3 linked regions of the Lepisosteus oculatus genome follow. The protein of the gene in region 1 purifies or fractionates together with the protein of each later gene. This does not show direct contact. Links are inferred from orthologs where the notes say so. Each region holds a gene or a part of one and is shown on either strand. Other genes may lie near its edges.

Region 1 (10,385 bases):
CCCAGGAAGGATATTGTAGCACCCTACTCAACAGGCGCAGGGCCGGAGACAGGCAGTGGGGTCAGGAGCAGCGACGGGAGACTCTCCACTGACTCTCCCTCTCTCCGCACGACAGCAGAAGGTCGTGGACGAGTGTCAGGACCAGCGATCCTGCCAGCTGCCGGTGAACAGCCGCGTGTTCGGACTGGACCCCTGTCCCGGCACCAGCAAGTACCTGATCGTGTCCTACAAGTGCAGGCCAGGTGGGACACCGGAACATTCCGATCTTAAATGTTACTGCGAGCAACATGTGAACATAAGAGGGTTTGCAAGCGACGGGAGCTCGTTCGGTACAAGGGCTCACACGCTTGGCTGAGCAGCCTGATGCCTGCTCCCACCACCCTTTGTGTGAAGAGGTACCCCCCCGTTCTCAGTCCTTAATGCTCTTTCCCTTAGTTTGCACTCACGCCCCTCTGCCACACGCCTCGCTGTTGAAAACTCCTGCTGCATGAGGGGAGGTTTTATCCGAGTTGCCAAAAATGAGGCCTAGAACTAGTTATCACGTCACCTGCCAGCGGTCAAATGATCTACTGTCGGGGAGAATGGTGCTGACATTGTTAACTGGGGTGTTGTTATTCTCCTTAAACATGAGGTCTGGCAGCTCCCAGCTCCCAGGGTTTTCCAAAGGCCGTCCTTTCCAGCAGTGCGAACACTGTATCCCGAGTGAAATGAACGCTCGTCTGTTTCAGCAACACTTACAGTGCAGCCGATATGGTGCAGTTCAGCTTTTAATATACTACGAGTAAACAGTACCGTTATTTGTAATTGCTATAGGTCAATGTACTTCAGTTTGGTTTCAGATTTAAATCAGAGGCCCTGGGGAACACACGTTTCTTAAAAAACGCTGCCGCCCCAGCGTGCACAGATTAAAAACACGCAGCTAATTTGCGTGCCTGTTCTCCCGCGTGTGGCCCCACCCTGCAGAGAATCACCGCAGCAAGCTGGCGTGTGAGAACGACAGGCTCCGGCTGGTGTGCCGGAACGACACGGTGCTGGCCATCTACTCCGCCACCTTCGGACACCTGCTGCACGGGAGCCCGCAGTGCCCGGACGAGCCGGCCTCCGGGCCGGACATGGGTGAGAGCACAGCAGGGGGGCTCTGGGGAGGGGAGGAGAAATTAGTTAACGTACTGTAGTTTGTCACTGCCCGGAGCAGGGTAAAGACCCTCGACTGCAGACAACCCTCCAGGGCAGTGTAGTGCTGTTCTGGCAGCGGGTGTCCAGAATCACTGGGTGACAGAGCCGGTTCTCCGACCACAGGAACCGGACTGTACCGTCAGGGCATGTTCACAACCCCTTCAGCCAGTTTGCAGAAGGATTGTCTCGGACCCAGCAACTAGCGGCCGCTCACAAATGTACCTGAAGGAGCGCAACAGCTCTCACCTTGGACCCCAGGATATGCATCAGATTTTGTAGGTCACTTTGTGGGCACCCCAGGTTTTTAGAAGAAGGAGCTTCTTGGCGATATGTTTTATCGGCTTCAATGAATACATTTTTTTTTATCATAGCATTATATGCTGAGGGTAATGTAGAGAATAAATACACCCATTCACATTAGACGTAAAAGCGAAAAGCTTTTCACACGGGGCAGTAACATAATTTTTTGTTTGCGAGCAATTGCCCCCTCTAGTGGATAACACCTGCCATCGCACTGTCATTTAAATTTCGTCGACTCGGTGTCGAACACTTGCATTGCATCGAAGAAAAAAAAACGTTAGTACCTTCGGATTAACAAAAAAGACGTGAAGAAAACAACACGATTATAAAGCAGCACAATCGGTATGAATGAGGCCGATCGGACAACCCTGCATTGTTGTGGTGCTTTGCAGAGTGTCTGTCCCCGTCGGCTCTGAGGAAGGTGTCTCGCAGGTGTCACGGGAGACCGAACTGCTCGGTACTCGCGGACACGCAGAGCTTCGGCGACCCCTGTTTTCCGGGGATGAAGAAGCACCTCCGTGTGTCCTATGCATGTGGTGAGTGAGACTGGGTAAAAACGCAATTTAAATATTTGTTGTCACGGGCAAATTTTGCGGCCTGCCTTTGCCCTGCATCTGTCAATGTCCACGGTTAATTTGAATAGATTGAAATGACAGGAAAAGGAGGACTGGAGAAAGATGAGAAAAAGGAGAGGAGAGTGTTCAGCCTCACTAGCTCTTTTTTGCTAGAGGCCAACTGGTCCTAGATCTCATCCCACCTCTTCCCCTTCTTCCATGACAGAGAAAAGCTGAGCAGCTTGTTCCACACTCCCACCACACTTTGTGTAAATAAGAGCCTCCTGTAATCAGTAATCAAAGCCCCTGACGATCTGCCTCAGGCAGTTGCACATTGGGATTTTGATCCCTGTCTGTCAGCCAGCTTGCCTTTTATGTTTTTTGCGAGTTCTCTAGATGAGGGCTCCTTCCCTTGTGTTTGTGACTCTCCCTGTCTTCCAGTGCCCAGAGTTCTCCTGGAGGAGCTGGGACGGGGCTCTCCAGACCCTTTCTCCATCTCCGACTACACTCACGGTGAGAGACCCGCGGGCTGTCCTGGAGCTTTCACGTTTATCAGCGCTCTTATCGGACAGCGGCTTGCAGTATCCACACCAGACATCAGAGGACACGAGACAAAGGGTTCCAAAACCCACAGTGGCGAGAACACTCCTTTCTGGTTCAGCATTTGTGGCACCTCATTCGTGAATTATGAGTATGGATATCGAGGAAAATAGGCCAAAACGTGCGAGCCCCTAGTTTTTGTATCAATAATCGCTGACTCTTTAACTATCTTGGTTTTTCTCCCATTTTCCTGATCTTTAAAGTGTTAGCAAGAAAAGATCTGAACAAGCGATGATTTTATACATCTTGCTTAAACTCAACGGGTTATTTAACATTATTTATTGGTCACGCCAACGTTTAGAATCCGTGTCCAAAAGACATCTCTGTCATTTTCCTTGCACACGCCGGCTCACCAGCAGAGATGCCATATTTCAGTCCCAGAGCAGCGTGAAGGAAATGACAGCAGATCACAAGGCGATCAATAGAGATACACGGCCCATCTGCTGCCTTCGCTGAGAGCTCTGCACGTCCCCGGGGTTGAGGCAGGACGGCCTGAGGTGCCCCCGCTGGCAGGCTCCCAGCACGGCACACGCAGGGTTAGACATACTGGTCTGGCCTTCTCAGCGGCCCCTAAGCCCAGTCCCTCTTCACCCACAGGAGGCTGGTACACTGGCCCCGGAGTGTCCAGGCTTCATGGGAAGGTGGTGGTTTTTACCAGTGCTTTGGAGGTCTTTGCCCGAGTCTGGGGTACGTCGCTGTGTGTTGTGCTCAGCCCCAGGGGCCTCCGTGTCTGGTTCAGTGTGGTCTGGGCGTCAGGCAGAGTGAAAGTGAGAGTGTGTGGAGAAAGGTCCAGGTCTCTAGTGGCTCCTAAACAGCGAGCCCAGGGCACTGCAGAGGCAGTAGCTCCATGAACGCAACAAGAGGAAGGACTAAGTCTGCATGCCGGTTCTTATTTTACCCATCCTATTACATATTAGCAATCCCCCCCAGTTTTCTGTTTCTGTTACTGTACACGGTGTGTTCTATTTGGTGTGAAACACTGACTCTGGCAGCCATCAGGGTGCTGGTGTCGTCCCTGTTTGAGCTGTACCAGACAGAGCGGGCCCGGCGGGCCTGACGAGCCTGACGAGCCTGACGAGCCCCGCCCCTGCCGGCTCTTTCCCCAGGCCTGCCCGAGACGGTGGCCCTGTACTTCGTCTCGGGGATCTGCGCCGGCCTGGTCTTCCTCCTGTGCGTGTTCGGGCTGAAGTCCATGGTGCTGCGGGACGTGAAGAGCCTGTGGCTGGAGCTCGAGGTGGCCCGGAAGGCCCGCCTGGCCCGGAAGGCGGCGGCGCTGGCGCCGGCCCGGCGGGAGCTGATGGCGGACCTGGAGGACGACAGCTCCTCCGACTCCTCGTTCCGCCGCCTGACCTGGGCCTACCGCACGGCCGACACCCTCTTCAGCTCCGAGCTGACCGTGGAAATGGAGGAGAGGGGCGACGGCAAGGAGCTGCAGGAGGGGGACATGTGGCTGCCGGGCGACTCCAGCCCCTACGCCATCCACAAGATCCAGGCCTCCGGCCCCTAGGGAGCGGCACGCCGGAGTTCTGGGACAGCCGGGCTCGGAGTGACCCGGATCAGCTCATCACGGGCTCAACGGGACCCCTTTAGCAGCTTCTCCCAGCTTCTCTACAGGGGCTGGAGCCTCAGAGACGCCTGCAGGACCTGGAGACACGCTGCAGTCCAGCCGGATCGGGACCGGAGAGCCCCACCGTAAAGAAAGAGACGTAAAAAAACCCACCCGGAAACCTCTTGAGCGCTGAAACTTTATTTCTGTGAAGAAGGCATGAGAATTATTATTACTATTATTATTGCATGGTTTGTGAGCATTTGTCTAACAAAAAAAAATTAAAAGCCTTTGTTTACAATTAACAACTGTATGTGATGTACAGTAGCTGTACAGTTGTCTCAGAGTTTAACATGAACTTCAATGCTACAGATATTGAATGGATTAATAAAGTACTGAACTGGTTAACATTTCTCTGGTGCCTAAAATGTTAAATCAAAATTATGGTATGAATTATTCCTTTAATATTTTTTGTACCTAAATCAGCAATTAGTTTTTTTTTAATGTGGTACCATAGTGCACAGTTAAAATGTAAAATGCATTATCTGCAGCTCTTGTTAAATCATGAACATGTAAAAAGTATTTTATATATTGACCTTTTAATATTTCCCTCATGTTTTTTCACTTATTACTTGCTTTGTATTGGGGAAAAAAACAATTCTAAATATAATAAATAAAACTAATAATATGTGGTTGTTATCTGTACATTTTATTTTATTCGGTTTTCTGATATGATAGTTTTGGATCCATAATAGAAAATACCACGTCAACAGCTACTTGTCGTCTCTGTCAGTTGTCTAAGATACAGTTCATTACAGACGGATAGTTCAAAGTGCTCACATTCAAAATCAGACAGTTTTGGGACAAAACAAAGTGACGAGATTAAGGAGTTACCGGCTTTGTGTGGGAAATAGTCTTGGATGACAGCAGCAAAAATTCGTGGAAATATGCCCCACGAAGAAAACTCCATCGCTGGTCAGCTGGTCGAAAGAAAACCGATAAAATAACCTGGACTTGACTTGAGGCGACCTCACCTCTTTTGCTGACATTATTAACATGTAATAGGTTTATTCCATGCTGAAAAAAAGAAGAAAGAGAACACAACGTTTCGGCCGTGGAGCCTTCTTCAGGTGTCAAGGTTTGACACCTGAAGAAGGCTCCACGGCCGAAACGTTGTGTTCTCTTTCTTCTTTTTTTCAGCATGAAATAAACCTATTACTTGTTCCTTTGCAGCCTACGCATGCTGACGCAGCTACCCACCTGCATTATTAACATGTGCATTTCTTTAAAGAAAACAGTAATCAGGAATTTATCTTTCTTTAACCGTGTCAGAAATTAAACCTGGGGAGCACAGCCCCTTCTGTAACTCGGGGAGACGCCGATTTTGTGCGCGTCTCTTTGACGCGGCCCGTAACGTAAGACAGGGTCTTCCCAGCCGGTAGAGGGCAGTAAGTTTCGGAAATGGGGGTATATTCTTGCAGCCGCACCGCCAGGACTCTTTCTGTCGCTCGGCCGTTTTAATCCGGCTCCAGTTTCCAGGTAAAGCGCAGCTGTCGAGTGGGAGCGGAGGCGCTGGAGCCGGGGCCTGGGAGAGTCTGAGTGCGCCGCGGTGTCGAATAGGGGGCGCAGCCGAGGACATGCGACTTCTCGCCGGCGAGGGCTGCAAGACAACACTGACCTCCGGGGCAGCCAGAGCGGGTTACAGACACGACCCAGTCCGCGGACTGCGGGAGCCTCGGGATTAGTTTTCTTGGCGAGGGGGAAGATCGGGTTGTGTTACTCCGGCCCTGCTCCCGGGACACAGGTATTGTGAGCGAGGTTGGTCGGACCTCGGAAGGCACCGTGCGCCTGGTAACCCCGAGCAGGAGACCGAGAGCCCCGGCTTGTCGGCTCTGCCAGACCCCGGTCTCCAGCATTTCATTACCATTCCTCCTGGAGGAGCAGACTGCGGGGGAGGAGTGTGCCACAAATAAATACGGGACCTGGGGAAAGAAAAGAAAATACGGCCGAGCTGTGACCATCATCACACCCTTAGTCGCTGATGGAGACGTCTTCAGCATTCGGACTCTGCAAAAGCCAATGTATTGCAATATCCTTTCATTTCTGTACTTTTTTGTTTTCCGAGTATTTCCTGCCTCAGAAATACCATGCGTCTTCGTGTTAGTGAGGGAGGCACGCAAGTTGTGATAATATGCAGCGCAGGTGACTTACGCCGGACACTTTACGTCCCGTTTAGAAATGTCAATATATCTCTTAATCGTTCTTTAAAGAAAGGGGAACAAAAAGAACGGTGCTTTTATATGTCGAACCGCATTGAAATATGTGAAGGTGATGTTCAATAGTCATAATCCAGCCGTAGAAACAGCTTGATCACACGAATCGTTGAGTTTGTGGGCATCACCCCCGGTGCAGTGTTGACAGGCACCCACGCAAGCAGGCCGGCTTGGACCCAGAGTCAGTCAATCTGTCTTGCAGCAGCCCTTGAGGGGGTGTGTTTGATACGCCCTTGTGTCCTTATCTCTCTCCCCGCCGTCTTCAAAGGCCGCACGAACCTGGCAGTGAAAATCAATCTCCGTGCACGCAGTGTAGGTTTATTGGTCATGTGCGACATCCTGACGGGCTGTAAAGCGCAGGTAGGCTCGGGGTCAGAGTGCTCTTCCCTACGGTCCGCCCTGTGTCGTTTGAAAGGAGATCTCCGACATTGACAGGGTCTGCACACGTTATGACGAAAGGCATGAGTTAGGACGGCTGTGGCGCGCTGCAGTGTCACCGTGAGCGTTTTCATTCAAGGTTGGTTTGTGTTCAAAAACGTGTGGCTAGGTCTGTGATCAGTGTTTACCGTTGATCCCGAAAACGTGTACCGGTGGGACGCGGGAAAGCGTGTGTAGGCACGGCCGCGGATTTGTACATGGCTGGAGAAAACGTGAGGAATTTTGTTTTTTGGCGTTAATAAAAATGTTCCGATTGCCAGAACCCTTTAAAAATACATTACCTGCAGGAATAGACGCGGGCAGTCTTTGTTCTCGTCGCTGGTGTCGCGGGGTCGCCCGGGGCTGGTGGTGGGTGACTTGCAGATGTGTGCGGTTTCCAGCTCTGGCGCTGTGGTTTGGTTGCAAGGATGAGGCGTACTGCTAGTCTCCTCCTTATCGCTCTGGCACGCTGAAGAGGTTAGTGCCTCATTTGTGTGAGGCTCAGGACAAGAGACATGAGGTAGCAATGCCCCATGCCTCCTCCTCCTCCTTCCCCACCCTCAGCCCTGCCTCCTTAACCTGCCGCCTCACACCGTGAAAGCCCAGGAGGTCAGAGGTGGACAGAAGGAGCCCAGGCTCCTCTCCCTCATCGAGTCCGCAGGGGAGTACAAGTAAGTATCTTCTCCTCTCCGTGCTGCCTCATGCAGGCCTGGTCTCCAGTGTGGAAGCAGAGTCTCCGCGAACCTGAACAGAGCCAGGCGCCGTCTGGCCCAAACCGGCTGGCTGGCTGGCTGGGACAGTAGAGAGGCGGCGCTCCACGCGCTGTCCTCGTCGCCATTCCTGTGTTCTTGTCCTGTTTCTCCGAGGGTGTGTGCTCTGGGCCCAGGAGTACGCATTGCACTTTGGCACCTGTGACAGTGCAGTAGCTTTCTGGTGCTGCCGGCTGCAGAAGTCTGCGAGTGTAAAACTCGGCTTCAGGGTACACTTCCAGCAGTAAAGCACCACCTTCAGGGGCTCGGCGGGCACAGGCCTTCCCGAGGGTCTTCTTGCTAGTGAGGCTGTGTGGGAATTGAAATGCATTCCTCCACTTTGTCACGGCTTCATCCAGTGGTGGGGGAGCTGGAGCCTGTCCCAGCAGGCAACAGGGGCAGGGTAGGGCACGGCCTGGGTGCGACGCCAGCCTGTCACAGGGCACACACTCACACAAGGGCCAGCCTTGCCAGAAGCCAATTAACCCACCAGCATGTCTTTCGACGTGTGATCCAAACCCGGGGAGAACGTCCGAACTCCACACAGACGGCACCCCAGGGCCGGAACCGGACCCTGGCCCCCGGTGCTTCAAGGCAGCAGTGCGTCTCACTCTGCCATTGTCCTGCCCGAAAGAAACATCTGTATTTTCCATTCTGAAAAGGCTTTGGGATAGAATATTGCTTGGTTGTCAGGTGCGCTGAGACACGCAGGACAGAGCAGCACCGTTTCTGCTCACTCGTTTGTTTTTAGGGGATTACAGTTCCAGCCAGCCAAGAAGCTGGGCTCATGACTTTGTTGACTCATGCAGACAGATGTTCACTCAGTTTCCATGTAATATAAGCGATTGACAGCGTCTCGGTTTTTTTTCTTTGCGAACGGCACGAGACTGGTGTGGGCTGTCATTCTGCATCACAGGGCGATGTGTGGGCAGTGCTGTAGGCGGAGTGCCATCCCCTCCCCTAGTGCACTGTGCTCACAGATAGAATAAAATGTTATCTCCAATAATAATATACTAACTAGGGCCTTTTATCAATTTGGTCTGCTGAATGCTGTCTGAAAAGAGGCCTTTGTTGTCAAGTGTGCTCATGGGCTCTTGTACAACTTGAGACCCGTAACTGTGTGGCTTTCGTGGCACAGATGACATGCAAATGGAGTGATTGTATTGCTTGCAGAAGACCTGTGTCCTTGACCTGTTCCCTGTTCTGGGGGCCCTGGTGTCCCTGCCCTGTTTCAGAGTCCTGCTGCACACCATCTCTCTCCTGATGGAGGGAGGTATTAGTAGGCATTGTGGTTTAATGCATGCCTTAAACCTTTCTCCCACTGCGATCGCGACGGCTTTGTGCTTTGCTATTGTCCTTACTTTTCCGATGGCTGCAAAAGCCGGGATGTTTTAAGTTATCCATCAGCCTCGAAAAAAGGTCACGAACATGAAGAGGGCATTCAGCCCCTTTTCCCAGTTTGACTGCTGGGAGTTCAGGGTTCTGGGGGTCTCCTCAAGTTGGTTCCCAAAAGAATCCAGGGTATCAGCTTCACCAACATGGCTGGGGAGCTTGTTCGAGATTTCCAAAATCTTTTGTGTGCAACTTACCTGTTCTGAACGCACTCCCCTTCAGATGATATTTTTAGGAAGTTTCTTCAGTTCTGTTAGGCAGTGTTGTTTTATCTCTGCGTTCCTCTGTCTTAAGTTAAGGACCTGTATTAAAATTAAGCTATCATCGAAATGTTGCAACAGCACGACTGCAAGACAGTCTGTGAGGTGCCACAGGTTTGCCTTTTGTAAACCGTCTTCCTTGTGTGGATGTTAAGAGACAGTTTTAGTATTCATGTTTTCAGCATCAAAAGGTGCAGTGAGTGTGGTGCAGAGGTACAGAATGATCCACTAATTGTGTGCACCAGACCAGTCGGTGAGGAGTCCCAGGTGTGATGATCGGGACAGGAGTGTCTGGTTGGTACAGTATGTCATTGGTAGTGATTGATGCCACCTTGACTGCGCAGTTCTGCATTGATCTTGACCGGAGCCCCGCCTGTTGCTTTTCCTGCAGGATTCATCCTGGTTCGATACAGAACATCCTCATTTGTAACAGTGATTTTTTGCGAGATGGGGGCATACCATTTATACTTCGGAATAGAGACCAGTGAACAGGCACGTGCTTGTCCAGAATTTCCTGAACAGGAATGGACCAGAATCACACAGTAGACCAGCTGGTGATCATACCTGTTGCTGACAGATACTGAACAGCATAATAAGCACAATTTGCTTATTTGTGATAAAATGTGGACCTGCTATAGAAATTATTTTCCTGATACCTTTGTGAACTTGTTGCGGTTCTTGGTGGTTTATTTTGCTGTGCGGTTGATGTGCTTTATGTGGTTTAAGAGAAAGGCAGGCTGAGTTGCAGCGAACTCCGGTGTCAGGAACTCCTGCTGCGGTCTGTAGTAGGGGTCTCTTGGGCTTAGTATCCCTTTCAGAGCCTTGCAGGGTCAGACCAGGCTCACATGCTTACAACCCTTCAGCTGCATTGGAGCTGTGCTAATCCGCTGCTCTAGGAGAGCGAACTGTCCTGCAGTGAGGCTCTGGGAAGCTCATTTAGGTCGCAAGAGACTTGCATCTGAGCCCCTGCACAGAAGAGGAACATGAATAGTGGGACAACCTGACTCTCTTGCGCCTTCTCACACGAGCCCCACGGGCTGTTTCACAGGCAAGACCGAGGGTAGAAGAGGTGTGGCGCTTGTTTCCGGTGTGCGCGGGGATTCACCCCGGTCTGGCAC
Region 2 (10,001 bases), on another chromosome or scaffold:
CTTAGGGTCATGGACACCTTACTGTGCTGCCACTGAAAATTTGAATAATGTGCTGTGTTTTTGTGCTCTGCCACTCTCGAAAAAAAAAATACCAAACAGAAAGTTTGGTTGTGACCCTCCGTCTATCCACCCCTCAGAGAATCCAGAAAAGAAAAAATAACAGCCAAATAGTCTGTCCACGGCTATCCCATTCAACCACAACAGAGTGAAATTCATCTCACTCTCCAAGGTTGGAAACAACTAATTCCTAATCTTAGGAATCAAAGAGTGGCATTTTCTAATTGACAGATTGTCTATTGATGGTCATGGGCAGAGAATTAACAGTCCCAACCAGAGAACATGATTTAAGTTTGTTCAGCTGGTGCTTTTTGCAATATCTTCAGTATAATCCCCAAATCCAGGTTCTATTGGTGTGCAGTGCAGCAGGAGGTGTGGTGTCCCCTTATGTTCTCCTTCTCTTCCCTCTGCAGTTCATAGATACTTAACCATTGAGTTATTAAGAAAAAAAGAATCAAGAATTATTTTAATCAGAGCATTAAGAGTAATATGCATGTATGAAATACAGAATTGTAAACTTTTTAATGTGCTGCAGTCTGTCTGTTGAATTCTTTTCATAGTCTTCAAACAACGTCTGAAAAACCTGATTATTTTGTAAAAAGTTGTTTCCCTCTATTCTTTCAATCCTGTTTTCAGGCTGAAAATACAGCAAATATATTGAAATACAGCTGAAGGTATACTTAAAATGTCTACTTAAGATACTGTACTTAAAATGTATCTTTTATCGTGTTCCAGTTAAATTATTGTGGCAAGCTACTGTATAACTTACCCTTCACTAAGTTATTTCTTTAAAACTTATTTTTTGTCTAAATTAGCTCTTCTGGTATGACGTTGTCAATTGTCATTTACAACTGTAGAAAACATACAGAACGGTACCTTTTTTTATATTCTTGTGGTCCACTAGGTGGAGGTAATGTAATGGAAATTCACAAGTTCTACACAGAAAAAATAAATCTGCAAATCTGCATTAGTTCTAGAACACAGGTATAAACGTTTGAGTTGATGTTTCACCTGAAATACTACAATTTTGAATTCTAAATTCTTAATTAACATTTTGTCTAATTGTTCTTAAATTTTGTTATATTGGTTTACCATTATAAAACTAATTTCCATTTGTTTTTAGCAGTTATTCTTCCTGTTAGAACGACAGAAATCACATCCTTACCTACAACCTGAAACCACCTAAAATGTTCTGTAAAATGTCAGCTGCTATAACTCTGTGTGGAGCTATAACTGTGTGGGAGTCTGGTTAGAAGTGTTACAATTATGGAGTGAATTACATTATCAGAACAATTAAGTAACTGAGACTAGTTGGAACAGAAAACAGAAGATATTCAGTCCTCCAGGAACTGAGTTGGAGACCCCTGTTGGATATGGAGCCTTCCAAAGGAGACAGTTCAGTTTCCTTTGCTGAGAACTCCTTTGAACTGATGTGACTTTCTTGACTCTTTGCTCCTATCTTGGTTATGAACTTTCTTCTTTATATACAAAAATATTTTGTTCAGTAAAATAAACCTATATAGATATATTTTTAAACACTACGCATTACTCACAATTAAAAACAGTCATAGTCTTCTGAACTGATATACTTATCTGTAATTTCTTGATTCATTAAATGTAAACCTTCATGTATTCATGTAATCAAGGTTTATTTATTGTATTATTTAATGATTGCAAGACGGCAACTCGCAGTTAACTTGTTTTTAGTGATATCTGTCAGCATTGGCCATATTAAAGATAGAAAAAGAAGAGAATGATACACTTAGGTACTTTACATATAATCCCTGTTACAGGGCAGTGTCACAGAACGCAAGAGGGGGCAATGTTCTTTATGATATACAGTACCTCTTCTGTTTTTCTGTTCGTACTAGCCATTTGTGATATTAACAAAAGCTGAAGGAGAAGTAAAAAGTAAAATATATATATATATTTCAGCTGCATAACCTCCTTCAAGTGTGTTGGGTAACAAATGTCAGACAAAACATCTGAAAAGTAAATAAGTAAATCACTGAGTGGGGAAGAAGATGTCAACTAAGTTTAAGGATCATTTTACCTTTTGATGTCTTTCTGATACAGCAGACTTTGAATTTCTTTGAAAGCATACAGACTGCAATAGTTCCTCATTTTACCTCTCCTTACCATGATTACACTGACTATTCTGTCAGTGGCCTTTCACCGGGATTCAGAGCTTGGCCCAGGGCTAAGAAATGCAGAAACATTTGCCTTTTAGACCCAACCCTGATTCCAGGCCGAAGGGGCAATTGTGCAAAGACCTTAAGACCATGAGAGACAGAAAAGACAATTTGAAGGTTCAGGGGACAGGGGATGCCAGTGTATCGATTGCAACACCTGCTGTTTTTTGCTCAGGAGTATAGTAAGTCATGTTTAGCTTTGCTTTGTGCTTTGGGCCTTTAAGTGAATTTGCTATCCTTGTGTACTTTGTAACAGTAAAGAAAGCAAATCTGCACTGAACGTGAAAATTAAATTGTGAAATTGCTGTACTGGTTTCACAATTCCCCCTGACCTAAACGTTCTGTTGAAAAAAATTTGGAAAGAACTTGATAGGGAGGTAAAAACTGAAGAGTGCAACTAAAATGCATAAACAGAGAATAGAATAAAAGGGAAAAATATAAAGAAATATATTTTAGAGTTGTTGGAGATTCTTGGTTACCCAAAAGTGGCTTACTCCACGAGGTGGGCTTGTGGCAACTTGGGTCATAGCAGTTAAGGAACCAAAACCTGCCACATGCTTAAACTGGAGCCAGGATGAACCCAGTGCCATGAAGAGTCCGAAGACGCAGGCACTGTGGCCATAGAGCTTTTGTTAAAGGAGTTTGTCTAGCCATCTTGTATGTAGGTCACCTTTCAGCCTTTGCCACTGACAGACCAGCTACTGTATGTGGGTTGGCCTCTTGACTGGTGTTCCCTGAGGGTGTGAGATCAGGCAGCGGGTTCAGGCAGCTTGTGGTTGGTGAGGGTAGCGCCCCAGCTCTTGCTCCTCAGTGCGCAAAGCCTTCCTCTGCACACGATCTCCAGAATAAGGAATCTCCATTCAGATGGTGCTCATCTGGTTGGTTGTACTGTAGTTTTGTGATCCAGTGGGCCAACTTCCCCTTGGGCTCTGTGTGGGAGAGAAGCCAGTGGAGGGTTGAAAGATCCATGCAAAAAGAGAATAGGAGCCTACAAATGTCATGTCACGTCATTTGCCAAACCGCTTTTTACCATATGATGTCATAGGAAGCCGGAGCCTACCTGGCAAGCAACATGTGCAAGGCAGGGTACACCCTGGATGGGGCGCCAGTCAATCACAGGGGAAGTGCAAGCCAATCATACATGTGGACAATTTGGAGACCACGGTAAAGGCAGAGGGCAGAAATCTGGCCCGGACTCCGGGATAACTCCCTACTCTTATTGAGAAATGCCTGGGGATCTTAAATGACCACTGAGAATCAGGACCTCGGTTTAACGTATCATCCAAAAGACGGGCCCGCAAATGTGGTTAATGTAAATTGGGGAATTGGGGAATTATTACTGAATGTGAAGTATACCCTGTCTGCTGAAAAGGTATTTTTCAAATAAATATTATCGGGTTTTGACATTCTCTAAACTTTCTTCCTTTCTACAAAGCTCTCCTGACAGCTGCCTCAATGTCAGCCTAAGAACCATTTGAATAACTGTTTTCTTTGTTGATTTACATGATAAAGACACTTCTAGTGACATTTTAAGCAGGGGTGGCACAGGTAGGATATTTGCACAAGGTAGTGGAGGTCAGCAGCAAAGATCTCAAGATTCTCACTGGGCTGTGACACACAACACTCGGGTAGTGTCTGTAGCACCAGCATGGTCACCACGCTTCCATAGAGATGAACGCATCTAAAGACTTTAAACAGGTTTCGCACTTCTTTTGGCATTTTTTCTTGCCCAGACAAGACTTGGCCTATCTCCAGCATGTTTCTCCGAGCTTCATCCCTGGTGAGAGGTCCTGTCTCCCTCTTGGCCTGCATCAGGAGTCTGCTTTCCATTCGTCTTTTATGCCTTTGCTTAGACAGGTGAGGAGATTTCTCCTATACTGACAATTCCCCAGCAGTGTAGGCTAGTACAGTAGGAGAGCAGGTTCACTAAGACTTATTGTCCTTAAAGATTACAGGTACTGTAACTGTAAACACAAGGGGGTTGGGTGTGGAGAATGAGCGAAGCTTCTGCTAGCAGTGCATGAGGTATAGAGAGAGGCCTCCCCTCCTTATACAGGGTGGGGATAGAGAAGCACGTGAGCTAAAGGTGACGGGTGGAAGGTCAAAGAGACGTTTAACACCAGGCAAATGTTACATTATTATATAAAATAATTTAATATTAGTATGGTTTATGATATCCATATACTATTTTAATTACGTTACAAGCTGTATATTATACGGTTACAATAGTGAAATGGCAGGTCCGCTGCGGTTCCCCCTAATTTAACGCTCTATTTTAAATAACGTTAAAGGAATCAAGGTCCTGTATTTATCAAAACTTGAATTCCTTTTGTTGTCAAAAGGGGATTTCAAGAACGTAAGCTAAGCGCTTGGCAAATACTGAATTTCATCCAAAGGTCCCGAAGCACACATCTAGGAAAGGAGCAACATTTCAATTCGGTGTGCATGACTTGGGGGTAGAAACCAACACGTATCAATTACATAATACATACATTGGGTTAAGGCTAGAAATGCTATGATCAAAATTTAAAACATTTAATACATTTTCTACACCACTTGGTTATAAGCGATAACGATCAATACAATAAATAACTTGATAAAGCTGATGCAATGAGACATATTTTATGGCCCATTTACCTCTACGTAAACCATACAGCAAACCCATATTCATTTTTAAATAAAGACGCATATCTATGTTGATTATGCCTGGTATAAAAAATGTAGTTTAGAAACTACTAGTACTGTATATAGCAGCGATTTCGTAGGACAGCGCCCTCAACTCGTGCAGCGGAGAAACAGTTGAACCGTATCTGCAGGCTGACTTGTCATAAATATCTTGGTGTTGCTTCCAGATCCTTTCCGGTTTTGTTCTCTCAGTATAAGACGCAGGGCTCCACTAACTTCGCGCCGTGCTCGGGATACAGGACTAAACTGAAGCTGAAATCTAGCGAAACTCAGTCCGAAGTGGATTACTTAAACTAGAGTCCTCTAAACTGCCTTTTCCCCTCCTCGGGTCAAAGGGCAGTCTGTATTTAGTGATGTATTAAAATTAGTTCACCAGCACTCCCAAGAAGAACTGCCTTGTTTTCGCTCAGTGGCTGGAAAAGGGAATGGCTGATTGAGGAACCGATAAAGTAACTTTTCAAAAATATTTTAAAATAAATAAATGAAGCAGTAATGGCTTCGAAGGTAAGGTGAATTTTATGCTATTGTTTTTTAAAGTTGCATGCATTTCTTATTCATTTTCTAACTGCCTCGATTATGCAGAAGCAAAAACTGGAGGTACAGTTTCAGCCTGAACTAAAAAAAGGTCTATTCAGCTTAGTTAAAAAACAGTGTTTTTAATCTTAAAGGATGTATTGGTTTTGCAGTCGAACATAAAACACGCAATCGTATGCACCTTTAGCGTAAGAACTCTGTTTAAGCGCCCTGTTTATTCTCCATCGAAATATGTGCAGTATATATCATTAAAAGTGTCTTGTGACATTATTCCACCCTTCCAATGCGGGTCATATCAGACGCAAGTAATGTTGGGATTTGTAGTTTCTGGACACGCGAGGTTATATGTAACGTGAAAAATGCTCAAATAGAAAATTAACCCAGTAAATGAGATTGTATTCTTGTCTCAGTTTGTTTTACTAAGTGGACAAACTGCTTAAAATTGTGACTACAGCATGAGTACTACGTATGAAGATGACGTTGTAATATTTATGTAGCCAAACGTTGTTTTTTAAAAAGTTTTATTATTATACCTGCTTATGGATAAAGGCTATCAATAGAGTACCTACAGTACACAGTTTATACATTATGGCGAGAAAATTTTGACGTGTGACCTTTTAGGCAATATTAAACATCGTTAATAAAAGGGGGAAATGAACAGTAGTACCCAGAAAGTTAAAATGTAAATTTCAACGCAAGGTTTCAATTTAATTTGCAGTGTCAATTATTGGTATGTTCTTGATTAAAAAAAAATCAGACTGGGTGGAATCCTGCTTTTACAGTACGTACTGTATAGCATATGTTTTTTCCCTCCTTGAACATTTGTTTTGTAAAGGTTAGCTATATACAGTATTATTGAGCAGCAACTTGCAATCCAGCAAATAATTTTAATGTAATGACCTGTCCTGTATTTGGAATAATTTTCAAAGCATTTTGCTGTAAAACAAAAAGTGATTTTGATGCCTTCTGAATTAAGTTTTAAAGCATGAATCAATCAAGACACACCAGTTGTGATGGATGGATGCATTTAGCTTGTAAATGTTTTAGCTGAATATTCTTCTACACAAATGTAAAACAACTTAACATCTAATTTCATGGCACTATGTCATTAATGTATTTTACTGTACTCAGCAGTTAAATGCAGAGTCAGCTGCTTGCATTAGTTTTACATCAACCTAAAATGTACTGTAAAATATGTAAAAAACTATTAAAAATTATTAAATGTTAATATAACTAATACTATTATAGTATTATATAGTTGGCAATTCTTTCTCAGTGGTTTAGTCAATATAAAATATCAAATAGAGTTTGTCTGCATTGGTCCACATGTTCATCTTGTTGCTGTAATTTAAATACATAAAGACACTTTGAAATAGATATAAGGAAATAATTCAGGACAGATCCAGTAATTCTAAGATAGATTGAAAAAAATTGGATGCCACTGCAGCCCCCTGTATACCTGTATACCTGGGGCGATATGGATTACTTAAGAGGAAGAAAGTTTTACCTACTGTTCATGCTCCAATGTAAGCCACAGTGCACATTTGCAGAGTGTTCATGTCATTTTTACATATTCAAGTACAAGTTTAGAATTATAAAATAATTTGAAAATGTCAGCATTTTAATTTCATTTTTGCTACCTTTTTTAAATAGCCCTAGATTCCTTTGCTTCAGAAGTGTTTCTTTTGAACAGTGTGCAAAGTTTAGGCTTTGGATGTTTCACCAAACTTGTATATCAACACCATGTGATTCTGCTAAACAGAAATAATTGAAATCATGCATGAAGGTGTTTTGCTGTTTCTGGGTATCCTGCAAATGCAGTTCTTATCTATAAATATTTATACAAATATTTGCACTATTTTATTTCCAGTGTTTTTTTCTGCTCAGTGGTGATTCACGCTAATGTATTTTATTAAATTCTTTAAGGCTGAAGACATACAGTAGTATGCATGGTAAACCACTATCCAAAGAAATTAATATACTCTTAGTGTTTTATCCGAGAAATATTGTCTTATAGTAAAACATAATTAATTGAATGTTACAACAAATAATTTATCCAGATTCATAAGGCTATATCACTTATATATCACTGATTTTGTTTATTTTCCTTATATAACAAAATTATACAATGGTTAAGCTTTAATAAAATTATTTTTCTTTCAATTAGTATTTCACAGGCTGAGAAAGAATTTCTGAAATGAAATGGCATATCATATCTGTTTTGTAAGGATTGTATTGGTGACATAATGTTTTAAGAGACAGGTGCTGTTTGTGTAGTACTTTAAAACTAATTATTATTGATGTGTAATAATTACCAGTGAAATTATGTTGTCTGTGTAATTGTAACTTGTAATTGTAATGTAATGTAATTTGTTGTTATGGCTTGCAAAGCCCCTATGTCACGTAATCTCATACAGAAAGGAATTTTTGGGAAAAGAAACTGAGATCCAGGTCAATTCGTATACTATAAGTGTTTGGTGCTGAACATTTAAAACCTCTGACTGATGATTTGGATATTGTGTTATATAGTACCAATTAGGATATGTATCACAATATATATATACACACACACCACAATCACCCTTCAAAAATCACTACCTGACCATGCCTCAGAATATTTTTCATGGTATGAGGAATTGTTCTGTATTGTTTACATTTGCTGGGTGTATCTCAAAGTGAAGGTATCTGGTTGAGTCCACAATCTGAAAAAGGAATATTAAAAGCACAAGCACTTTTCTGTAGTGAGGTAGATGTTTTCATTGCTCTTATGAAAAAAATGACAAATAAACTGAGAGGATAAAAGATGAAGTGAAAGCCAAAGGATTCGTTCTTGCAGTTGACGATAGGACAAAAAACAAATTGCAAAAATGAAGATTACTTACTTTCATTGCGTTTTAACTACACTGGCATTAACAAGTCATGGATTTAAATTTTATGTTACTATACTAGAAAATAAAAGATATGTAGATACAGTATCCTTGTTGCAGCTGGTACTGTAGGTGCTGTGTGTAGCATGTTGCACTTACAGTACCATTATCCTGACAGGATGGCCTACTGTGATTGCCTCTGATCATATGTACAGCTGTACAGTGCATTTAAATCCAGTAATTGTACTGAACAAAAATGACCATGTTTATAATCTATTTTTTGTACTGTTTGAGTGCATCACATGTTGTATTATTGAAGATGTGTATGATCCCCATAACAGAAGGAGGGAAGTGAAGTATTTTTTTTCTTAGTAGTTTGTTAAATTAGCTACCCTCTTAATATAGTGGATTTGTTCTGGATCTCAAAACCTGCAAGATAACAACATTTGAGGGTGTATGTGTCAGAATTTATTGGTCTGTGAAAAAATGCAGTGCATGCGTTCACAGTCCTGCAACTTGGGTTCTGGTGACTATGATGAAAATACTGGAGAACATTTTGCTTTACATTTTAATTAACAATAAGAAACCCTCCTGTGTAAACCTTTAACAGTCTATATACACTGCATTTCTTGAAGAAGCAATCATTCAAAGAAAGAAATGAATATAAGATCATACAGGGAAGTAGAGCAGTTTTGTTCAGATACAGTAGCTCTGAGGTTATGTGACATTAGCTTCAGTGGGATAGTGCAAAGCAAAGTCAGATGTCAGTGGATATAGTATGGAAAAGCTTGCGTCCTCTGTTCTTACACCCAGAGTCTATTTAGATAGGTGCCATTTAGAACATGTTGAAAAGCTGAAAAAGTACATGTTGAAATGTGTGTATTAAAACAAGGTACAAATATTTTAAAACAATGAGAAATATGCAGGTCTTCAATGCTTACAGAGTGAGAGCAGGTACTTTAAGTACCTCATAAGTCTGAGCTGGATCATCAGGTACACCCTTGTTTCACAGGAGACTGGCCTTTTTGTACCCAGATACTTTCCAGGCTACTAAACTCCCAGGAACAGCTCTGTGTTTTCCCTGTAGGATGTTCTGCATACTATTTAAAAAGAAAAAAATAGATTTATTATTTTATCAAGAAACAAAAACAAAAGCAAGTTATGGATGGACTGAACATCTAACGGCACACACTTTAATATGCAAAGAAGCTCTTGAGACTCACTATTTGAGTTTTTTTATTTTTTAACATTATCAAGTCACCAATCTTAAGTAAATATCTGGTCTATCTCACTTTTTTATCAGAACAAGTTTTCTGGAGGGGAAGAGTAGGGATGGGACAAAGATTATTAAGCATGCACGGTTTTAAAAAAATTGCCATTTTAAAATATTTGTAATGACATTGTATTTTATCTCATTACGTGTGTTTGGTTAAAAGACGTTTCTTAATCTGTGTTAAAGAAGCAGTGTAGGTGATTTCATGGTTTAATGTCATTCTGCAAAAAGTTTGATTTATAAAAGATTTGATTAATATCAGATTATCTGTGCATATCTAGGCAAGTAAAGCAATGTAACCTTTTGAAAAAAAATGTATCAACCTAAAATAAGTGTTGTGTATCTCCCTTTTAGAGGAGACGAGCCTTTTAAAAGTGTTTTGCATAATGTATG
Region 3 (9,698 bases), on another chromosome or scaffold:
TTTTATCCTTCACCAAGTGAGTGAAATATGTAGGTGAGAAGGTCAAGGCTGGGACAAAAGCTCGGGCTGCAGGCTGTTCTTTGTAAGCCAACACAACAAGCAGAAACAAGCGATTTCTGTCAGGTTACATTACTTTTTAAAAAGAACGTAGAAAGAGACAAGACAAGGAGCATAATGGCTTTTATGCTACTAAAGTTAATTGCTCCCCAAGACCGTATATCTCCTAAATCCCTAAACCCAGAACTGGAACTTTCCGGAGTCTCAATGACCACTCATCAATGACCCGTCCAACGCCCGTCCCCCCCCCGCACACCTTGAAGGCGATCGTCTCGTAGGGCTCGGCAGCCAGGAGCAGGTACTGCCAGCGCCGGTCAGGGGGCTCGATTCGCTGCTCATACGCCGACATGAACCGGTGACGAGGGGCGATGCCTTCTGCGATCTCGGGGTAATCGATCTGGGGAGACAGGGAGCTCACAGTGTGTCTGCTGTATCACTCCTGCACTGAGGGGTCAGTGTCTCTGCTGTATCACTCCTGCGCTGAGGGGTCAGTGTCTCTGCTGTATCACTCCTGCGCTGAGGGGTCAGTGTGTCTGCTGTATCACTCCTGCGCTGAGGGGTCAGTGTCTCTGCTGTATCACTCCTGCGCTGAGGGGTCAGTGTCTCTGCTGTATCACTCCTGCGCTGAGGGGTCAGTGTCTCTGCTGTATCACTCCTGCGCTGAGGGGTCAGTGTCTCTGCTGTATCACTCCTGCGCTGAGGGGTCAGTGTCTCTGCTGTATCACTCCTGCGCTGAGGGGTCAGTGTCTCTGCTGTATCACTCCTGCGCTGAGGGGTCAGTGTCTCTGCTGTATCACTCCTGCGCTGAGGGGTCAGTGTCTCTGCTGTATCACTCCTGCGCTGAGGGGTCAGTGTCTCTGCTGTATCACTCCTGCGCTGAGGGGTCAGTGTCTCTGCTGTATCACTCCTGCGCTGAGGGGTCAGTGTGTCTGCTGTATCACTCCTGCACTGAGGGGTCAGCAGAGACTGGGGTGTACCACTCCTGCGCTGAGGGGTCAGCAGAGACTCTGGAGAGTACACTATATACCATTCCTGCTCTTAGGGATGCAGGTGGATAAACAGAGCTGAGAGTTGGTCTGTTCAATCCTACCTGGAAAAGGAGACTCTGTTGACCAGTCTCTGGGTCCCTCTGTTTTGTCACTGTAGGGAAAGAATATTTAGTTTCCATTATTAATTAAAAACATAAGAAAATAAGCATTTTAGAGACTCAGTGGTATGCAACATGCAGATTCTGTGCTAATATTCATCCTCTAAGCCTTACAGAAGGTATTCTCACTCTTCTTAAATCTTGACAGTGAAATATTTAGAGCTATGTCATTTTTACATTAAGAATTTATTGCAAAAAAAGAAGAAGAATTGTTTTGTACCCTTTTCTAGAGTGACAGCATTGAATCTCTTACCAAAATGCAAAGCATCAGCAGAAGGAGAAGGCTGAAAATTAATCTTTTCTGTTGGGCTTTATTTTGCTATTCATTATAAGGCTTATTTGACATCTCTACCAATATTTCTGGTCATAATTTTAAAGTAAGGGATTAGTAAAACATTTTTGGGGATCTCAAGAGGCCTGACTTCTCACACCAGCTGTACCCCAACCCAAAAACTCTCTGATGACAAGCAGTAACACCCCACTCAGTAAGGGGAAATTCCAGTTTGACACTTTCTTCAGGAGAATTATGGGGACCCCCTCCTTTGGCAAACTGCATCTGCTTCGCCTGCACGGACAGATCCACTGGGTCGGGAGTCTCCAGACCCGGAGGCAGGGGATGCTGGGCTATGCCTCACCTTTGTATCCCGGCCTCCCGATCTTCACAAACTTCTTCACCTCTACCTTCACCTTCTCCGGCGCGGGCTGGGCTGGGGCCTCCTTCGCCTCCTTGGCTGCTCGTCTCGCACTGAGATCGAGAGGCAGGGCCAGAGAGACAGGGTCACCCACAGGCAGAGAGCCAGACAGGGTCGCCCACAGGCAGATACAGGCAGGGCCAGAGAGACAGGGTCACCCACAGCCAGAGAGACAGGGTCACCCACAGGCAGGGCCAGAGAGACAGGGTCACCCACAAGTAGATACAGGCAGGGCCAGAGAGACAGGGTCACCCACAGGCAGGGCCAGAGAGACAGGGTCACCCACAGGCAGGGCCAGAGAGACAGGGTCACCCACAGGCAGAGAGACAGGGTCACCCACAGGCAGGGCCAGAGAGACAGGGTGACCCACAGCAGATACAGGCAGGGCCAGAGAGACATGATCACTCAGACAAAAAGGCAGAGACAGAGAGACGCACAGGCAAGTAAACAGACAGTGAGCCAAGCCGACACTCACACTAACACAGGTCAGAGAGACAGACAGGTCAGAGCAGGGTCTGCAGGACACAGGCACGCAGACGTACAGACGCAGGCAGACAGCAGCCGAGACGGGTCAGAGTGAAAGAGACGGGCTGAAGGAGACGGACGCTTTGACAGCTCCACACACACACAACCAAAGAACATGAGCTCCACTCACAGGTTGGTCTGATGCTTCTTCCCTTGCGTGTGCGCCAGGTAGCTACCCTGAAAAACAAAGCACAGCGAGGCAGCGGCGTTAACCCCAGGCCGGGACAGCGGGGGGCGCTGTGCTCGCAGGTCGCCCGCTCACCTCGTTGTTGTGCAGCGTCAGGCACAGTTTGCACTCGTAGGAGCCCAGGTGGTTCTTCATGAAGTAGGGGTCCTTGTTGATGTCGATGGTCTCCAGGGCCAGCTGCCGCAGGCGCTCGCGCCGGTCCCGGTTGCTCTCCGACGCCGAGGCGACCCCCCCGCTCCCCGTCTTCCCCCCCGGCCGGTGCTGGAAATCCATCCTGGCGGGCGCGCGGGCTCAGGGACACGCTCTCTCTCGCTCGGCCGCGGGTAAAACACCGGGCCCTGGGGGGGTGGGGTGGGGGGAGACACTGGTCAGACTCTCACTGCTCCACCAGTCCAGCACCACCAACAACAACAACAACAACAACAACCCACCACACAGATGGGACCCCGCGGCGCCCCACTCAGGAAAAATAATAATCACTCATTGCACTTCTATAGCGCTTTTCTGGACACTCCACTCAAAGCGCTTTACAGGTCATGGGGATCCCCTCCACCACCACCAGTGTGTACCCCCACCTGGGTGATGCGCCAGTCCGCTCCCCACACACCAGCTCTCAGTGGGGAGGAGAGCAGAGTGATGAAGCCAGTTCAGAGAGGGGGATTATCAGGAGGCCATGATGGGTAAAGGCCAGGGGGGAATTTAGCCGGGACACTGGGGTAACATTTTTCTTTTTGAAAAATGTGATGGGATTTTTAATGACCACAGTCGGAACCTCGGTTTTACTTCTCATCTGAGGGATGCATTAGGGCCTACTTGTCCCACTAACACCTCTTCCAGCAGCAGCCTCAGCTTTCCCAGGAGTCTCCCCTCCAGGTACTGGCCAGGCTCACACCTGCTGGGCTCCAGTGGGGCTGCCAGCTGGGAGCCGCAGGGTGATATGGCTGCTGAAAAAAAAAAAGACACCTCCTGAAAAACGGACAAGGTGAACTCACAATAAACACGGCTGTGGGAAAACTTTCCCCACAACAGGGACCTCCGGCAGAGCTGGGGGCAGTTCCTCTGCTCGCTTTCCACAGCTCTCCACTGGCCACTGGCGCAGGACTGGAGGACGACAGACGATGACTTGACGATCGGGCCTATAAATACATTGAATTAAAGTTTAATCCACATTTACAGCAGCGTTTTAATCCGCGGTTAACGTTCAGGGCTCTGAACTTCAAAACAGAGGATCGTTGGAACCAGAGAACCAGCAGATGCTTATCTTATCACTAAGAAACTTCATAAGCTTCAGAAACCCGCGATTTAATGGTGAACTATCGGGGGTTTGAGAAGGAGCTGCACAGCCCCGCCAGAACACCAACAAGTAGTGATTAACGAGTAATTAATGGATAACGCAACTTAATACATCTGTAACGTACCGTAATTAATTAAAAACCGTGGACAAACAGTTTAAAGTCGATGCCTTTCTCACACTTAATCTAAAACATTACACGCAGACGTTTCGGTCACTGAATAATTTTTAAACCGGAAAGGTCACAAATAGTTACGTGAAGATCGAAGGGCGCTAATATTGATTACAGAGAGGATTTGTTAATATCTTATTTGTTAAAATGAAGTAATTTTATAATTCCTAAAACAAAGGTTACATTGTAAGAACACTCCCTTATTAGATAATTACAAATCTCACAGTGAAATGTTATTTTTAAAAAGTAACAACGAGGTGTCCCGAATCTAGAAACAAATTTATCTTAAAAGCTACCAAACTTAGCAAACCTTAAATAGCATGTACAAGCACCCAAACTATTCACATACATTTACAGTTGTAAAAATGTATTAATTTCATTTTTAAAACAAGTATTGTAGACATTATAAGTAACATTTCGAACGACTACCTTACCAACAACACACGCTTGTAACTTCCGGTCAAACAGTACATGCGCAGGGAAACCAAACTTTATTAACAATCTCTTCGCTGTGACATGACCAGTAATTCAAAATAACTCTTCATTTAATTTTGTTAATGCGGCATATTCGGACAATTTTTCAAATACAAAACCTGTCATTTCAGAAACTGTCCAGTTGTGTATGTTTTAAAAATAATTGCACCAAAAACGTGTTCAAGATCACATTTGTCACATGACATTTAAAATTGACTACATGTCCCAGAAATCCTGCCACGCAAACACGACCGTAGAAAGCGTTTGGCAATCTGGGATTTGTAGTTTTTTCTTAATGCGAATTAAGGACGGAGTGAATACAATAGCAATTGGTTTACACATTTATTAAGAATAAAAAAAGAGAAAAATAAGACTACGGCAGCCACTACGAAAAATTAGCCACGAGTGGACGAGACTATTAAGACGTAGTCTGTATTTTACTATGGCTGGTATTTAACGCGGAAAACCCTCACCGCTGACCACCGTTTCCGGGTGCGGAGCGCAGCTGTGTCGCAGGGGAGGGTCCGGTCCGGCGGTGGAAAACCGTGACCCCGGGGTCTGTCTGCCTGTGAGGCCGCTAGACTCGCAGGGCGGAGCGGTGGGCAGGTGTGAGAAGCTGCGGAGAGAAACGCGCAAGACCCCGTCGCCTGGTAACGCGAGTCCGGCTGTCCCGAGTGGGACAGGGATCGCCGAGATCCGGGTGGGTGTGTGCGTGCGTGTGGCAGCCGGAGCGGACGGCGGTCGCCGGTTTCCCGGGGCGATGCCAGGCCGGCGGTAGCGGCGCGGCGGCGGAGGAGGAGGAGGAGGAATGCGGTTTAACGAGAGGGAGCTGGTGTCGCTCAGCCGCCAGCCCTCCGAGAGGGCGGCCCAGCTGGGCATGCGAGGACCCAAGAGAGGCGACGGTACGGACGGGCACACGGGGCTCTCCCTCCCCTCCCTTCTCCCTGCCGCTCCACGCGTGTCTTTTCCGTGTCCACTTCCCTGTCTGTCTTCGTCTCCCTGCCCTGCTGTCGCCTGTCCTTATCCGTTAGGTCGCAGCTGTACTCATGAAACGGTGTTTGCTTATAACTGGGACTCGGCGCTCTGTCTCTTTCTGTCCTCTAACTGGACCGGTTTCACCTAACCGGACATGAGGCTCATTTCTACTAACCGGTGTGCTTCTTGTCTTCGCATTTGTTTTCCCAGCTAGACTGTTTAGTCTCTTTGTTTTATCTTACAAAAAAAAAAATCCAGGCTAAAACCGTAACCTTGCCGAGGGAAGGGTATGAAGATGGAAGGAATTACGATGTGTAAAATGTTTCCAGGAGGTCTGCAGCTCGGAGATGCTTTCTCAGAGTCTGCGGCCCCCCGAGATACACACCATTGTTTTCTCTTTCTGGCACAGAAAGGGAGCTATTTTTTAAGGAAGCGCCCGTCTGCTGTCTTATCGCAGTTATTTATAGCCGCTGCCCCCCCGTCTGGCCCTGTGGGAGAGGAACAGAAAAAGTGAGGGAGAAGAACAGAGACGGAGACGTGCTTTCTGCTGCCCTGATCAGACAGACAAACATCCTTCCCCACAGTGACTAATCTCAGCCCAGCATTCCCACACCTACCAGACCCAGAACAGCTCCCGATCCTGCTGGGGAGCCAATGCAATCGAGCTGCAGCCTGGTGTGTGTGTGTGTGACACACAGCGAGCCTGTGTCATATGTGAAATGGCCAAGCTGTTGTGTTAATTGTCATGTTTGGTGGCACTGTAACCCATCGGTTGTGCTAGTGAAGCTCGCTGGAATGGTGGACCAGCAGAAGGACAGGCCAGAGAGAGAGAGAAGGAGGAGGAGGAGGTCACAGTTGCCAGGGGAAACCGGTCTGGTCCAGTCCGCCTGGCTCCAGCCCGCGGGTCACATCTTGAGACATGGCCATGGACACCTAACTTGGCGATACTGGCGTTGGGCGACGCCCCTTGGTCACCTGTAAGAGCTAAGACCTTAGCCGGAGCCCAGCAAGCATCTTGCAGTAGAGGGACATTGCGCTGGTTCTGATCGGGATTCTCGGGTCCAGCCTGCTGGTTCTGGTTCTTGTTGCTCACGAGGTCGGGGCCCTGCTGGAGCCGGTCTCCTCCGATGAGCCGCGCGCTGTGGGGTCTGTGGGACGAGCTGTACCGTGCGAGTGCGGGGAGTGCTGCTCGGAGCAATGGCTGATCTCTCTCTCTCTCCCCCACCCCCCCCCCCCCCGTCTGTGTCCCACAGTCATGAAGAAGAGGCTGGTAAAGCTGGTGGTGAATTTCCTGTTCTACTTCCGCACAGATGAGGAAGAGGTAAGGGTGGGGGCGCAGGGGCGGGGGCACCCGGGGGAGACGGTGAGGGCTCGGTGTGACGGCTCTGTGTCCGACTGTCCATCTCTCTCCAGCCTCTGGGAGCCCTGCTGCTGGAACAGTGCCGGGTGGAGAGAGAAGACAGCCAGGCCTTCTCCATCAGTGAGTCTCGTGGGCGTTTGGGGCTCTGGGCCCGGATCCCATTCCAGTCCGGTCTGGTCCAATACACCCAGTTCATTCCAGTCTGGTCCAACACACACCAGTTTACTCTGGTCTTGTTCAATAGAACCCGGTCTATTCCAGTCTGCTCTGGTCCAGAACAACCCAGTCCATTCCAGTCTGGTCCAACACATTCCAGTCTGTTCTAGTCTGGCCCAATACCACCTAGTCTATTCCATTCCAGTCTGGTCCAGTACAACCCACTCCATTCCAGTCCAGGGCTCTGTGTACACTCTAGTGGAGTTGAGGGTTAAGTCCAGATCAAGACTGGTAAGACCTGTGCAGACCTGTAGTCCAGTCCAGTCCAGTCCAGTCCAGTCCAGTCCAGTCCAGTGCCTGGGCATTGTCTTCCTGATTGGGACCATTCCTCTCCGGTGTCCGCAGCCTTCCTGGACGAGTCGGAGCGGAAGTACCTGTTTGAGTGTGACTCTCAGGAGCAGTGCCAGGATTGGATGGACTCCATTATCCGAGCCAGGTCTGTCTGTCGATCCGTCCCGTTTGTCCCAGTGGGAGCTGTGGTGGGTTCTGAGAGTGTTCAGACTTCTTGGCGCATGTCTGTGTGATGTTTCCCTGTGTGGCGTCTCCCACAGCTATGAGTCCATGAGGAAGAGCCTGATCTTCTACCGCACCGAGATTCAGAGAATCACAGGGAAGGTGAGATACATCTGCTCAGTGCAGTGTTGATGTACTGGAGTGTCCAGTCAGTGTGTCTGTATTAACCCCTCTCTCTCAGTGCAGTGTTAATGTACTGGAGTGTCCAGTCAGTGTGTCTGTATTAACCCCTCTCTCTCAGTGCAGTGTTAATGTACTGGAGTGTCCAGTCAGTGTGTCTGTATTAGCCCCCCTCTCTCTCAGTGCAGTGTTAATGTACTCGAGTGTCCTGTCAGTCAGTCATTAAGCTCTATGTCTCTCCCAGGATCCCCTGGAGCAGTATGGGATATCGGATGAGGCTCGTTTCCAGGTTAACAGCTCCCTGAAAGCCAGCGACAAGGCGACCTAACAGCGGGGACACCACACCCCACCTCCCCTACAGCCACACGGGGCTGTTCTTCACACCTGCTACCCCACTGTAACCACACACCCGAGAGCACAGTTACCACGTCCACCCCACCGAGAGAGAACTGACCTTTCCAATCGTCTGCACTGTGAAGACCGCTTTCACAGGATCTTTCTGAGAGACCTGGGTCACGAAAGCAAAAATTGGATCAAATGTGCATGCTAAACATTTGTCTGAATTGAAGTTGAAGTTGGCAATTGGGTCTTGATCCTGAAAGCCTTGTTATATAATCTTCTAGTGCTTCTGCACTGGACTTGATGTATAAGATCACAACCTGTGTGCATGTTTTCTAAAATGTGATGCTCATTTCTGAGGTGTCTGGAATGAGGCTTCTGTACTCTGCCAGTGTTTTGTGGAGAGAGCAGTGGATTTCTAGGCTCTTACATGAGGCCTATGTCACTGTGATAGTTTGATATCTTTGCTTGAGGGGGGCCCTCTCTAAATAGTTTCAGTGTTTGGAGACAACCTGACGTTTTTAAGTCGGGTAACTACTTCCCTCTGAAAAAAAAACAAAACGCTTGTTTAAGTAGAGTTTGATTGCACCCAGATTTGCAGTTGTGTACATAAGTGCATACAAAGTCTATTTTTTTAAGCAAATTCTGTAGACATTTATTTTCTTTAGCATTTTCTTTCCAGGTACCTTTAAAATCTAAAAGGCTGTATTGATAAAGTGTCAGTATTTCTGTGCACATGTAACTCCTCTGGATGCAGCTGTTAATGTGTGTGGGTTTAGCGTGTTAGTTTTGTGTGAACTACGTTGTGTCCTGTTTCTAGAAAGGAGGAGGGAACTCCTTGGTTCTGAAATTCTGTTGTCATGCAAGATTTAGTTTTTAAATTGCCAATTTCTGGATGCAGCCATTCTTAACTGCTGTTTTGTTTAGTTTTTTGACCACTTATAAAAATAATTTAAGAACTCGGAGTGAAACCATGAAGGTTCTGGTTACAGTCTTTTAGGACCAGAGCTGGTTACACCTGCGTGACTTAAAGAAAATTAACTTTCTTAAGATGACCAGAAATATAACCGCAGCTACACCCTGCCTGTAAACAGGTGACTGAGGGGCCTCTTCAGACAAGCCTGGCCTGGCACCCTATGTCACAGGGCACCAGTAACTCAGGGCTGGGGCTGTAGGCGCTTGAGCTGACGTTCCTGTTTCACACCACGCTTGTCTTCTGTCAGTGCTGTATTTGATTTTAGGGCCAGGGCATTGGTTGATCCTAGTCACCTAGACTTGGTGTCTTGGGGGAAAAAAAACATCAAAAACCATCCAGTTAAAGGTGGTTTAAAAAAGAGCACCTTTATACCCTAGAGGTGTCTAATTAAAATTGAAGATGCGTCTATGGACCTGAACCTAAGACTTCAGATCACTGGCTGCCCTGCAGGTGCCCTGTTTGGCCTCTGTGCCGGAGGGTCTGATGGGCTGGCATGCCGCGCTGGGGACAGTGGACAGCGCATAGTGTCACATGTAGGACCCACAGCAGCGCTGGAGCCAAAAAAGTGTTTTGTTTCTGCTCTAACAAAACCTTAATGTTTATATGCAGTTACGATGCTGGATTTCAAGAGAGTGCGGGTTAACATGAATCTGT

Evidence for each region.
Region 2: the proteins of ocrl (region 1) and snx9a purify together in Homo sapiens (co-immunoprecipitation; 3 studies listed by BioGRID and IntAct, with this or other methods). This does not show direct contact. The link is inferred for Lepisosteus oculatus from reciprocal best matches to the Homo sapiens genes OCRL and SNX9.
Region 3: the proteins of ocrl (region 1) and plekhj1 purify together in Homo sapiens (co-immunoprecipitation; 3 studies listed by BioGRID and IntAct, counting the BioPlex papers as one, with this or other methods). This does not show direct contact. The link is inferred for Lepisosteus oculatus from reciprocal best matches to the Homo sapiens genes OCRL and PLEKHJ1.

What each region holds. Positions count from the first base shown.
Region 1 is NC_090703.1:50,394,512-50,404,896, forward strand, and holds the start of ocrl (inositol polyphosphate 5-phosphatase OCRL), read left to right. Parts: upstream 1-5,570; 5' UTR 5,571-6,217; coding exon 6,218-6,265; intron 6,266-7,457; coding exon 7,458-7,537; intron 7,538-10,385. Other genes in the region: protein eva-1 homolog C, read left to right, coding at 116-242, 964-1,116, 1,869-2,012, 2,472-2,543, 3,228-3,317, 3,737-4,137. UniProt on the Homo sapiens protein: Catalyzes the hydrolysis of the 5-position phosphate of phosphatidylinositol 4,5-bisphosphate (PtdIns(4,5)P2) and phosphatidylinositol-3,4,5-bisphosphate (PtdIns(3,4,5)P3), with the greatest catalytic activity towards PtdIns(4,5)P2.
Region 2 is NC_090697.1:22,099,695-22,109,695, forward strand, and holds the start of snx9a (sorting nexin-9a), read left to right. Parts: upstream 1-5,066; 5' UTR 5,067-5,426; coding exon 5,427-5,438; intron 5,439-10,001. UniProt on the Homo sapiens protein: Involved in endocytosis and intracellular vesicle trafficking, both during interphase and at the end of mitosis. Required for efficient progress through mitosis and cytokinesis. Required for normal formation of the cleavage furrow at the end of mitosis.
Region 3 is NC_090724.1:8,581,641-8,591,338, reverse strand, and holds the start of plekhj1 (pleckstrin homology domain-containing family J member 1), read left to right. Parts: upstream 1-5,353; coding exon 5,354-5,447; intron 5,448-6,773; coding exon 6,774-6,841; intron 6,842-6,933; coding exon 6,934-7,000; intron 7,001-7,441; coding exon 7,442-7,532; intron 7,533-7,647; coding exon 7,648-7,711; intron 7,712-7,973; coding exon 7,974-8,057; 3' UTR 8,058-9,698. Other genes in the region: sf3a2 (splicing factor 3A subunit 2), read right to left, coding at 314-454, 1,148-1,197, 1,840-1,949, 2,552-2,598, 2,684-2,881.